Linked DNA regions of Stegostoma tigrinum. The main gene of each other region encodes a partner of the protein of the gene in region 2 in a complex. Links are inferred from orthologs where the notes say so. Each region holds a gene or a part of one and is shown on either strand. Other genes may lie near its edges.

Evidence for each region.
Region 1: rbm15b (region 2) and mettl14 share a complex: the UniProt entries of both Homo sapiens proteins name them as parts of the WMM complex. The link is inferred for Stegostoma tigrinum from reciprocal best matches to the Homo sapiens genes RBM15B and METTL14.
Region 3: rbm15b (region 2) and virma share a complex: the UniProt entries of both Homo sapiens proteins name them as parts of the WMM complex. The link is inferred for Stegostoma tigrinum from reciprocal best matches to the Homo sapiens genes RBM15B and VIRMA.

What each region holds. Positions count from the first base shown.
Region 1 is NC_081354.1:67,562,052-67,565,801, forward strand, and holds the start of mettl14 (N6-adenosine-methyltransferase non-catalytic subunit), read left to right. Parts: upstream 1-1,503; 5' UTR 1,504-1,851; coding exon 1,852-1,917; intron 1,918-3,750. UniProt on the Homo sapiens protein: The METTL3-METTL14 heterodimer forms a N6-methyltransferase complex that methylates adenosine residues at the N(6) position of some mRNAs and regulates the circadian clock, differentiation of embryonic stem cells and cortical neurogenesis.
Region 2 is NC_081364.1:63,277,198-63,280,947, forward strand, and holds the start of rbm15b (putative RNA-binding protein 15B), read right to left. Parts: upstream 2,605-3,750; 5' UTR 2,311-2,604; coding exon 1-2,310. UniProt on the Homo sapiens protein: RNA-binding protein that acts as a key regulator of N6-methyladenosine (m6A) methylation of RNAs, thereby regulating different processes, such as alternative splicing of mRNAs and X chromosome inactivation mediated by Xist RNA.
Region 3 is NC_081358.1:91,435,652-91,439,401, forward strand, and holds the start of virma (protein virilizer homolog), read right to left. Parts: upstream 2,767-3,750; 5' UTR 2,716-2,766; coding exon 2,656-2,715; intron 1-2,655. UniProt on the Homo sapiens protein: Associated component of the WMM complex, a complex that mediates N6-methyladenosine (m6A) methylation of RNAs, a modification that plays a role in the efficiency of mRNA splicing and RNA processing.

The DNA.
Region 1 (3,750 bases), on a different chromosome or scaffold from region 2:
ATGTCGACTTAAGGAATGGGAGGGGGAGTTAAAATGGTTCGTGACTGGGAGGTGCAGTTGTTTCCTGCGAACCGAGCGGAGGTGTTATGCAAAGCAGTCTCCAAGCCTCCACTTGGTTTCCCCAATGTAGAGGAAGCCACAACGGGTACAGTGGATGCAGTATACCACATTGGCGGATGTGCAGGTGAGCGTCTGCTTGATGTGGAAAGTCTTCTTGGGGCCTGGAATGGGCGTGAGGGAGATGGTGTGAGGGTAGGTGTAGCACTTCCTGCGGTTGCAGGGGCAAGTGTCTGGTGTGGTGGGGTTGGAGGGGAGTGTGGAGCGGACAAGGGGGTCGTGGTCTCTCCAGAAGGCAGACAAGGGTGGGGTGGAAAAAATGTCTTTAGTGGGTGGGGTCGGATTGTAGATGGCGGAAGTGTTGGAGGATGATGTGCTGTATCCAGAGGTTGGTGGGGTGGTACGTGAGGACTAGGGGGATTGTCTTATGGCGGTTATTGCAAGGGCAAGGTGTGGGGGATGAGGTGCAGGAAATGCGGGAGGCACGGTTGAGGGCATTTTCGACCACTCCGGGAGAGAAGTTGCAGACCTTGAAGAACAAGGACATCTGGGATGTGCAGGAGTGGAATGCCTCATCCTGGGAGCAGATGCGGCGGAGGCGAAGCAATTGGGAATAGGGGATGAAATTTTTGCAGGAAGGCGGGTGGGAGGAAGTGTATTCCAGGTAGCTGTGGGAGTCAGTGGGCTTGAAATGGACATCGGTTTGTAGGTGGTTGCCTGAGATGGAGACAGAAAGGTCCAGGAAGGTAAGGGATGTGTTGGAGATGGTCCAGGTGAACTTGAGGTTGGGGTGGCAGGTGTTGGGGAAATGGATAAACTGTTCGAGCTCCTCTGGGTAGCATGAGGCAGTGTCGATACAGTCATCAATGTAACGGAGGAAAAGGTGGGGTTTTGGGCCAGTGTAGGTGCGAAAGGGGGACTGTTCCACATAACCTACAAAGAGGCAGGTGTATGGGCACCCCCTTATTCTGTAAGAAGTGGGAGGAATCGAAAGAGAAGTTGTTGAGGCTGAGGTCGAGTTCGGCTAGGCAGCTGAGGGTTTCGGTGGAGGGGGACTGGTCCGGTCTACGGGACAGGAAGATGCGGAGGGTCTTAAGGTCATCTGCATAGGGAATGCAGGTGTATAGGGACTGGACGTCCATGGTGAAAATGAGGTGTTGGGGACTGGGGAATTGGAAGCGTTGCCCTTAACAGCATCCATTCCAGCTCACAAACCCATCTGCGGACACGGCTCCGCCGACACATATACCGCCACGCCCACACATACCCGGGGGAGCTGACACATACTCGACCACGCCCACATAGGCACCCACGCCCACACACCCTGCTGCGCCGACACATACTCGACTACGCCCACACAGACAACCACACACACACACCCGACCACGCCCACACACGCTCCGCTCCGCACGAACAGACTCGGCACCGTTTACACATACGCGGTCTGCCTATAAGTGGATAAGAGGGTCTCTGATGAAGGGTCTAGGCCCGAAACGTCAGCTTTTGTGCTCCTGCGATGCTGCTTAGCCTGCTGTGTTCATCCAGCCTCACATTTTATTGTCTTGGATTCTCCAGCATCTGCAGTTCCCATTATCTCTGCCTATAAGTGGTACCACCCACAACGACTCGGCCCTGCCCCTGTTTTACCGAGACCCGCCCCTGCGCTTACCGCCACGGCCGCCCCGCTCTGCGGTGTTACGTCGTGGCGTGCACCGCTGGAAGTGATGTAGAAACTTGGTCGCGCGGACGGAAGGTCAGATCCGGTGAGGGGGTGGGGTGTGCGGGCTACCGACTATGGACAGCCGTTTGCAGGAGATCCGAGAGCGGCAGAAACGGCGGCGTGAACTGTTAGCCCAGCAGGTGAGAGCCATTGTCTTCACACCCCCGGTGACAGTATTCCCGGGAGCACTTCAGATCCAGCGCCTGGTTTAAAAGGAGCGATCAGTTTAGGTACATCTGAGGCCGGGCTTCGGTGAGGCCGGCACAGGAGGTCGTTCATTCCACGGTGTTTGCACTAAATCTCAAAAAGAGCGATTCACCTGGCTTCTTTGTTCTGTCTGTAACCCTCCACGTAACCGTCCATCTCCCTTTCGGAAATTTCGATTGAACCTACCCGTTTTTTATTTCATTATTGTCATATCTATCTAAGTACAGGTGAAAAATTTTGTTTTTCGTGTCTTACGGCAGATCACAACATTAAAAGATACAAGGGTCATAGGGTGATTGAACAGAATGAGGAATGCAAAGTTACAGCTGCAAAGAAGGTGTGCAAAAGTAAGGTTAACACTAGATTTGAAGTTTGAGTTCCATTCACCTGTGTAATAAAGACAGGGGAAAAATGCTGTTCTTGAACCTGTTGATATATATGTTTAATGTGTTGTATCTTCTGAGGTTGGAAGAGAGTATAACTGGTGTAGGAGGGGTGTTTGATGTTGGCTGCTTTTCTGCGGCATTGCGAGTAGATGGAGTCAGTGGATGGAAGGTTGGCTTGTGTGATGGCCTGACCTGTATTCACAACTTAGTGTAGTTTCTTACAGTTCTAGGCACAGCAGTTGATGTGCTAAGCCATGATGCGTTCAGATAGAATGTTTTCTGTGGTGCATTTGTAAAGGTTGGTGAAGGTCCTTAAGGACTTGCTGAATTCCCTTAGCCTTCTGAGGAAGAAGAGGTGTTTTGCCACCTTGACTGCTGCATGAATTCATGCAGTCCAAGATGGATTGTTGGTTATGTTCTCTCCTAGGAAGTTGATGCTGTTACCCACCTCCATTGATGTAGATGTGTTCTCCTTGCTTTCTGAAGTCAATGATCAGCTCTTTAGTTTTGCTGACAGTAAGGGAAAGATTATCTTTGCACCATGTCACTGATTACTGTGTTCCTTTCCTGTATTGTATCTCATTGTTTTTTGATATTCAGCCTAATATGGTGGTGGTGTCAGCAAACTTGTTGATGGACTTCCTCAGGAGGCTAAGGGAATTTGGCAAGTCCTTAAGGACCCTCACCAACCTTTACAAATGCACCCAGGGAGTGGTGAGCCTGTGGAATTCACTACCATAAAGTGTTTGAGGCCAAAACATTGTATTTTCTAGAAGGAGGTAGAAATAGCGCTTGTAGCTGAAGGAATCGAGGAAAATGGGGGGAAAGATGGGATTATGGTAATGAACTTGATGACCAGCCGTAATCACGTTGAATGACGAAACATGCTTGAGGGGTTGAATGACTTCCCTTATGCACCTTCTGTGTTTTTGTGCAACTCCTATCTCTACAGATGCTGCCAAACCTGCTCAATTCCTCTGTACTTTTTTCAATTTGAATCAATCTATCTGCTGCTTTTGATAAGTCATCCAGTTGAGTGGTGCCTGCTGTCATTTGGTTTCATTCTTAATCGCACCTAAGGAACCACTCGAATGGTTTCTCTTCCTGCTCCAATCATTACTGCTGGTGTTCCTTAATGATCCTTCTTTGTTCCCCTTTGTACTGGCTGCTGCCTCTTGATGATATAATGTGAAAGCACATAAATGTTTCGCTTCCGCTCCTATACTCAGCTCTATCTTCCATCATCTCTTATGACTATCTACTGTGAGCTGCTCCTTCAACATCCAGTCCTGGATAAACAGGAAATTCCTCCAGTGAAGTATGTGGGATACTTAAACTAAGGTCTTCTGTCCTGACTACAAACTCCGTTCCCAATCCAAA
Region 2 (3,750 bases):
CACAGCGCCATCACCTCCCTCAGCACCCTGGGGAGCCTGCACAGCGAGCAACACAGCATAGCCATTAGGGCTGCCCTGCTTGATGCGACGGGTCACCTCGTCCAGCTTGGGCTGGTCAAGACGTAGGCGCTGAGCAATCTTCAGCTGTGACACCCGTGCACCCGTTACAGAATCCTTGAGGAGGGAATGGGTAATGGCAGCGTCACCCTCAAGTGTGAACATTTTTGTGGGAAAGCAGCTGTTCTTGAGCACAAGGACACCATTCCAGGCAAGTGTGAGTGCCTGTGCAAACTCCAGCAAATTGGCTGGCTTCTTGGTCTCTGTTTTTGGAGCATCAATACTCGCTTTATGCTCAGGCTCGATCTCACTAGTTCTGTGATTGCGCTCACTGTCTTTCTTTTTAAGCTGCACAGAGTCCTGGGCATCTGAAGACACCTTATCCTCAACAAGCAGACGCCGATCCTCCAAAGGGCCAGAGATGACCTGCTCCTTTTCAGTGGTGCCATCAGCCCCACGAGCATCACGGTTCCTTTTATCTGGGCTCAGCTCCAACGAGCCTCGAGGCTTAGCCCTCACCCGGTCCTCAAAAGGCGAGAGTACAGGTCGGACACGCTCATTGGAAAGGCTCCGGCGCTTCCGCCTTTCTTCCCAGGGCTTGGCTGCAACAGTACTGCGGTCATTCTCCCGTTCATTCAGCCAGCGGTCCCGGTTACGGATGGAAACAGCGTCAGTGTTGTTGCGGCGCTCCAGGTTCTTGGCCGGGCTGCTCCAGTCACCGTCCAAATAGGTCCTCTCCCGTTCGTGATATAGGGGCAGTGGTGGGGTCCGGTCACGTGTCCTGGCCTCCCGCTCCAGGCTCCGGTGCCGACCAAAACCATCTGCCAACAGCTCGAAGGGGACTGGAAGCGGTGCCTGTGGGTACGGCTGCTGGTAACGTGTGTCTTCCACCTTAGCAAAGTCCACTCTCAGCCGCCGGTCAGGCCCACCAAGTGGAAAGCCACGCATCTGAGCACAGGCAGCCTGCGCAGCATCCAAACTCTCGTACTGTATGTAAGCAAAGCTGTCGCCTTTCACATAGTCAATGGTGCGAATGCTGCCAAACCGGTCAAACTCCCGGGCAAGTGCAGCCAGTGAGGTCAGGGGTCCCAGCCCACCCACCCACAATCGAGTCGTTGGGTTGGCTTTGCCATATCCAATTTTAACATGGTTCCTGCCAATCACCCGGCCTGACATGGCTACCTTGGCTCGATGTGCCATGTCCAAATTCTGAAATTTTAAGAACCCATAGGCACCCCCTTGCCCCCTGGGCGGGCGCTTGATGACCACTTCCTCAATGATGCCGTACTTCTCAAAAGCACGTCTCAGATCAGTCTCTGAAACATTGTGATCCAAGTTGCCAATGAACAAGTTCCTTGTGGCTCGCTTGTCATCCTCGGGCATCAAATCATCCTCCTGCACAGGGTAGCTGTAAGCTCGCCCACGCTCGTCATATAATCCGTAATAGTCTAACGACCGTTCCCTCTCCCTTGCCAGTGGTACTGCCTCAATGGGATAATTAGTATGTCTCGTCCGCTGGTCTCGGAGGGTGCAGGCCCCCGGTGACAAAGAACGTTGCCGATACTGATACCCAGTGTGGATAGATCCAAAGTTAACCTCGGGTGGAGTACAACTCCTCCTCTTGGGGTACACCGGCTCAATTTTGAGGGGTCGATCGTAGAGCACCAGCCGGCCCTTGGCATGCCTTGCTTCCTTAGCGTCCTCGTGGTGCCGGAAATGGACATATGCCAGCCGGCCCCCTTCAGGGGTGTGTGCTGCATTAACGCTCACCTCCCCAAATTTCTTGAACTCATGGAAGAGACCATCCTCCACCGCCTCGTCCGTCAACTGCGAGCCCAGGTTGCTGATCACCAGGGTCTTGTACTCGAGGCCAGCAGGCCTGCTACTGTCACCTTTGTTTTTCTGGGCAGAGCTGGACCTGGCAGTGGGCAACCTGGCAGAGCTAACAGTCTCATGGTGGTGGTGGTGGTGATGGTGGTCCCCCCTCTCCTCCCTGCGGCTGTTGCTATTGGATTTGTCCCCTCCTCCCGCGGCTCTGTCCCGGCTCCGGCTCCTGCTCCGACCCCCCGGGTGTTTGGCGCTCAGGCCGGCCTTGTGATAGTTGCCGCCGCCGCCTCCTCCTCGGCCCGTGTCACCTTCCTCCCTGGCGGACCGGCCCTCCCGCTCTCTCTCCCGTTCCCGGGGCCTCTTGGCCGCTCTCCCGCTGCCTGGAGCCGAGCTGGGGCTCGAGTCGCGCTCGTTCTGTCTCTTCATGGCGGGCCCAAGGCCTGCCTCCCCTCGACACCCCCACCACCACCCGGCTCTCCCTCCTCTCCTCCTCACACCGACCCCGCGCTAGGCCGCCAGCCCTTCTCGGGGAAGGTAGGCCCAGGCTGCACCACCAGCTTACGCCGATCGCCAAGCCCCCCGGGGAAAGGGGACCCGCCACGGACTCCCCTTCAGGCCCCAAGCTCCCCACTCGCCATCTTGTCAAACGATACCACTCTGCCGCTATCCCCGCCGAAAGAATGCGCTCCGCTTCATCCCCCCCCCGTGCCTCGCCCTCACCCAGCGCTCTGACCTCACCGCTTCCTGCGTACCCCCGTCCGGGCGCACCGCTTCCAATGACACCATCACGCCGTGCGCCGTTGCGGCTCTGCCTGCCCGGCGGGCTTGGACGTGGCGTGTGGCGTCATGACGCACACCGAGCGGCCTGTGCGTGGTGAGGGTGCGGTGGTCTTGCTGTTTGCCGGTACCGCAGGCGAACGCTGTTCCTCGGCTTGCGGAACGCACGCCTTCCCGATGTCCCGTCATTATGGCCGAAGGGTTGCACTTACGCCGGCCTGTGAAGACCCGGAGACAAGCCGAGAAGGCCCAGAGACCGCGTGGGCGCACGGTTCAGAACCAAGGCCAAGGCTCCATCGGCAACGGGGAGATCGGTGAACCAGTGGAATGATGAGCGATAGCAGGGCCTGGAATTGATAAGCAATGACGGGGTAACGGAGGCTCAACCTTGAGGGTGTGGGAACTCCAGGATCCTTCCCGCGCCCTGGCTAACCGTCTGCACAGGAAGCATCAGCAGGAGCTCGGACCTTGTGTTTCAGGATTTAAGCAACAACCGTCACTACTGCATTGCATTGCATTCCCCCCCCCCCACAGACAAACACACACACACACACACACACACACACACACACCCCCAGCCACCCACACACACACACACACCCCCAGCCACCCACACCCACACCCACCCACCCACACACACACACCCCCACCCACACACCCCCACCCACACACACACACACCCCCACCCACACACACACACACACACACACACCCACACACACAACCATCCAGTTAACATCCACAGACAAGAAGACGAAGGTGCTCACCGGACATTGAAGAGTAAACAGGCAGATAACGCACATTGCCTTGAGTGTGTCCCACTCTCCAACTAAGTATTCAGTTGTGAATACTGTTGAGGTTGGTGGTTCGTCCAGGGGACATGCAGCCAGAGGATTGCCCGTGGTATCATGGGTGGCTGAGCTACGCGTGGATTGCGAGGAAATCTGCTAAACCAGTAGATCTAGGCAGTTCTGTATTTATTGCAGACAGCAGGCAATTTTTTTTTAGCCACGTACACAAACGCAGGTTCTTGCCTCAGAGATAGTAGGAACTGCAGATGCTGGAGAATCTGGGATAACGACATGTAGA
Region 3 (3,750 bases), on a different chromosome or scaffold from region 2:
TGGCAAATGGAATTTAATCTTGACAAGTGAGAAGTGATGCATTTTGGGAAGTCTAATAAGGGAAGAATAAGTACAATGAACAGTAGGTCCCTACAGAGGACTAATGAACAAAGGGACCTTGATGAATAAGCCTACAGATTCCTGAAAATGTCAGCACAGGTAAAAAAGGTGCTGAAGAAGGCATATGGGATGCTTGTCTTGATTAAGTGGGGTGTAGAATATAGGAGCAAGAAGTCTTGTTACAACTTTATAAAACATTGTTTAGGCCACAGATGAAATATTGTGTGCAGTTCTGGTTGCCACACTATTAGAACGGCATGACTGTATTGGAGATTCACCAGATGTTGCCTAGGATGAAATGTCTCATTTATGAGGAGAGACTGAATAGGCTGGGTTTATTTTCTTGAAGCAGAGGAAGCTGTGGGGGGGGGGGGGGGGGGGGGGGGGGTGCTGGGCGCGGGATCTGATTTGAAGTATACAAGATTATGAGAGGCATAGATAGGGCAGATTGTGAGAATCATTCCTCCACGCCAGACATGTCTAAGACCAGATAGCACAAGTTTAAGATGAGGAGCAAGTGGTTTAGAGGGGATCTGGGGAAAAAATGTTTTCACCCACAGGGTGGTAGAAATATGGAATGTACTACCTGAGTGGATGGCTGCGATGGGTAGGTGCGCAACATCTAAGAAGCATCTGGATGAGCACTTAAAATACCTCAACATAGTAGGCTATAGACCAATTCAGGGTAAATGGGTTTGGATAACTTGATATTTGTTGATTGGCATAGACATGGCAAGCTGAAGGGCCTCTTTCTATGCTGTATGACTCTATAACATCAAGGTTGTAGATTCTTGAATTTAAATTTACTTATTAGGAAAATGGTCAAAGTTTACCTTAGATTTAAAACAGTACAGTATTGTACAGTTCAAGTTATGGCATTGATAAGGTCCAAAGTCTAAAGTCTAAAAACTGGTTATATTAGTTAAAGATCATCACAGACACAACTCCAAGACATATCAAGATTCAGCTCCGATTTGCAATCAATTTCCAAACCCCTGTCAGAATCAAACTTAATTTTAATGTCCCTCCTTAATAACAGCCTGGTACTTTGTACAGGTCACAGAAAGAAATGCCACAAAAAGAAAACCAGATTTATGAAGCATTACCATCACCCATATTTCAACTTGAAAGAGTATCTTCAGCAGAAAGTAATTTCAGACAACAATATGAGACCATAGAAAAAGCAGAAACATTTGGCAAACTATAACTAGGTTGCTGTGTTTCAAAATACTATGTCCTGCCAATTAACTTTACAACTAATAATTTTATTCTTTTGTGTTTAGCAGGAAAAGTAAATCTATTTTTCCTGCAAATCGAACAATTCAGTTTAAGTCATGCTGTTTGAATTTTTTTAATATTACAATTCAGTTACACTACTAGCGCTGCACAGAATAAATACTTTTATCAACAATTGTCCCAGCAATACACTAAGGTCCAAATATTTTGAAGGTATGAGATGAAATCATATGCAACTTCAATTCAATTCATTTGTAGATCCACATTAAAAAGATATCATCTCAGTCAAGAACATCATTAAACCAGTGTATTTTCATCAAAATCCCATCTGGTCCATCAATGTGCTGTGGGAAAGAAATCTGCTAGCTTTGCCCAGTCTGGTTGTGACTCCAGCTCCACTCAATAATGGCAGTTTCTTAACTATCCTCTGAAACATAAACCTGATTATCAAAATTGACGCCGAAATATTTAAAGCAACTATCATCAGGAACTAAGATAATGGTCAAATTCACTCTGACTTTCCCTGTCTTCAGTTCTCTACTGAAACTGAAGCTTTTAACAAAAAAATTACCATGCTGTGTACAAACGTGAACATTTAAATCCAATAACAGCAGCAGAATCTACTAACTAAAGATATTTCATGCAGACAAGTACAAATCTATAATCTAATTTTCCCTTATTATAATTTGAGGACCTGTGTTAGCCAACTACTGCCGATTCAGCTGCATAACATCTGAGAAAATTGTGAACACTAGCATTCTTGGTTTGTAAAACGTGATCTCCTACAATGTTTCAGATTTGCCCTACATAAGTTGGCAAAATGAAATTGGTGTATAACACAAGGAGTTAAAGCTAAAATAGCTTACAATGTTTTATGCTGTCTCTCGTTTCAAAAACTGTTTGCAATCAACGCATCTCATTCTCGTTCATCAAGTTATCCCGCGAAAGCGCTGCACAGAAATCGCTAACAATTCCTTCAAATCAAGTGAAACTACTTTAAAATCTAGTCCCGATTTTCAGATCAACTCTTTAATTGGGCTCAACGTGGGGGAAAGGGGGCGGAACTATCACTTGAACAGAAACAAAACAAACATGCAACACTGGAGGACAAGGAGGTAGGGGAGACTTTAGCAAGTCGAAACTATCGTGTGTACCACGCAATTTGAAGGCTATGTCGGGCCACCAACAGAGGAAAGGGCACAAATCCTGGGTCGCTATACCACCGCAGCCAGATCCCAGCGTCTCCGCGATTAAAGGCCCAGTTCCGGCTGCAACACCCCGAGCGCTATTTACAAAAGCAGCTGCAACAAGAGAAGCCGGTCCCGATGAATGACTAAAAAGGCGGCCGCAGGGATTTACCTCCGAGTTTGAGTGTTTGAACGTATCTAGAAACAACAGCTCTGCCGCTGTGTCCGCCATGTCTCCTCATGCGTCACTTCCTTGCCAGATACTTCCGACTGCCCATGGCGCATGCCCGGTGAGTAGGATGTGGACGGTTGGGACGGAGGGGAGCGGTCGGAGCGAGTTGTGTAGTGGTGTTTACATCGTGTATCTCAGTCATGGTTTTAAAAACCCGAAAGGAAAGTGTCATCGGGAATGAGCGACAGTTAGCAAACTGTAATAATCGAACTCCCCTCATGTTCCAGGCTACAACCTACAAACAGGGAATTTATCTCTTCTTTTGGGATCCTTTGGAAGGCATTGGCTGATTATATGGATTGAAGTAATGTACTGTGCGAGGATTTGGAGTAGTAGGACAGGAAACTGGCAGTAAGTAATGACGGAACAAAAACAGAAGTTGCTAGGAAAGCTCAACAGGTCTGGCAGTATCTGTGAAGAAAAAAAAAATCAGAGTTAACGTTTCGGGTCCAGTGACCCTTCCTCAGAATAACGCTCGTTCAGGCACGATGGGTCGAATGGCCTCTCGCGCCCATCCTTGTGAAGGTGGTCGTTTCAGAGATAGTAGGAACTTGCAGGTGGTGAGTTGCCATGTTTTTGAACCACAGCTGTCCGTGTTCAGTAGGTACGCTGCACGCCCACCAATGATGCTGTGATTGAAGAAAGAAAGCAATATCCTTTGTCCCACATTGAAGTTGGCATATACCAGGATTCTCAGGGATCTTTCTGTTTAATATAGTATCAGCTCCCTTGTGTCAATACCACATTTTCATTGTATACAAAGTGTAGAGCTGGATGAACACAACAGGCCAAGCAGCATCTTCGGAGCACAAAAGCTAACGTTCCCATTATCTATGAATTAAGAGTTGATGGGCAGTTTAACTCTTCAAGTGCTGTATCATTCATGGCTTGTTTGATTGTAACTTCAACACTTCCCACCCACCCCCCCCACCCTGCCCATTCCTGTACCTTTTAACTCCCTCAGTTTGTCTTAATACATTGACTGCTGTTAAAGGAAGAGACTTTTAAAGCCTCACAGTTCTTTGAAAGGAAATA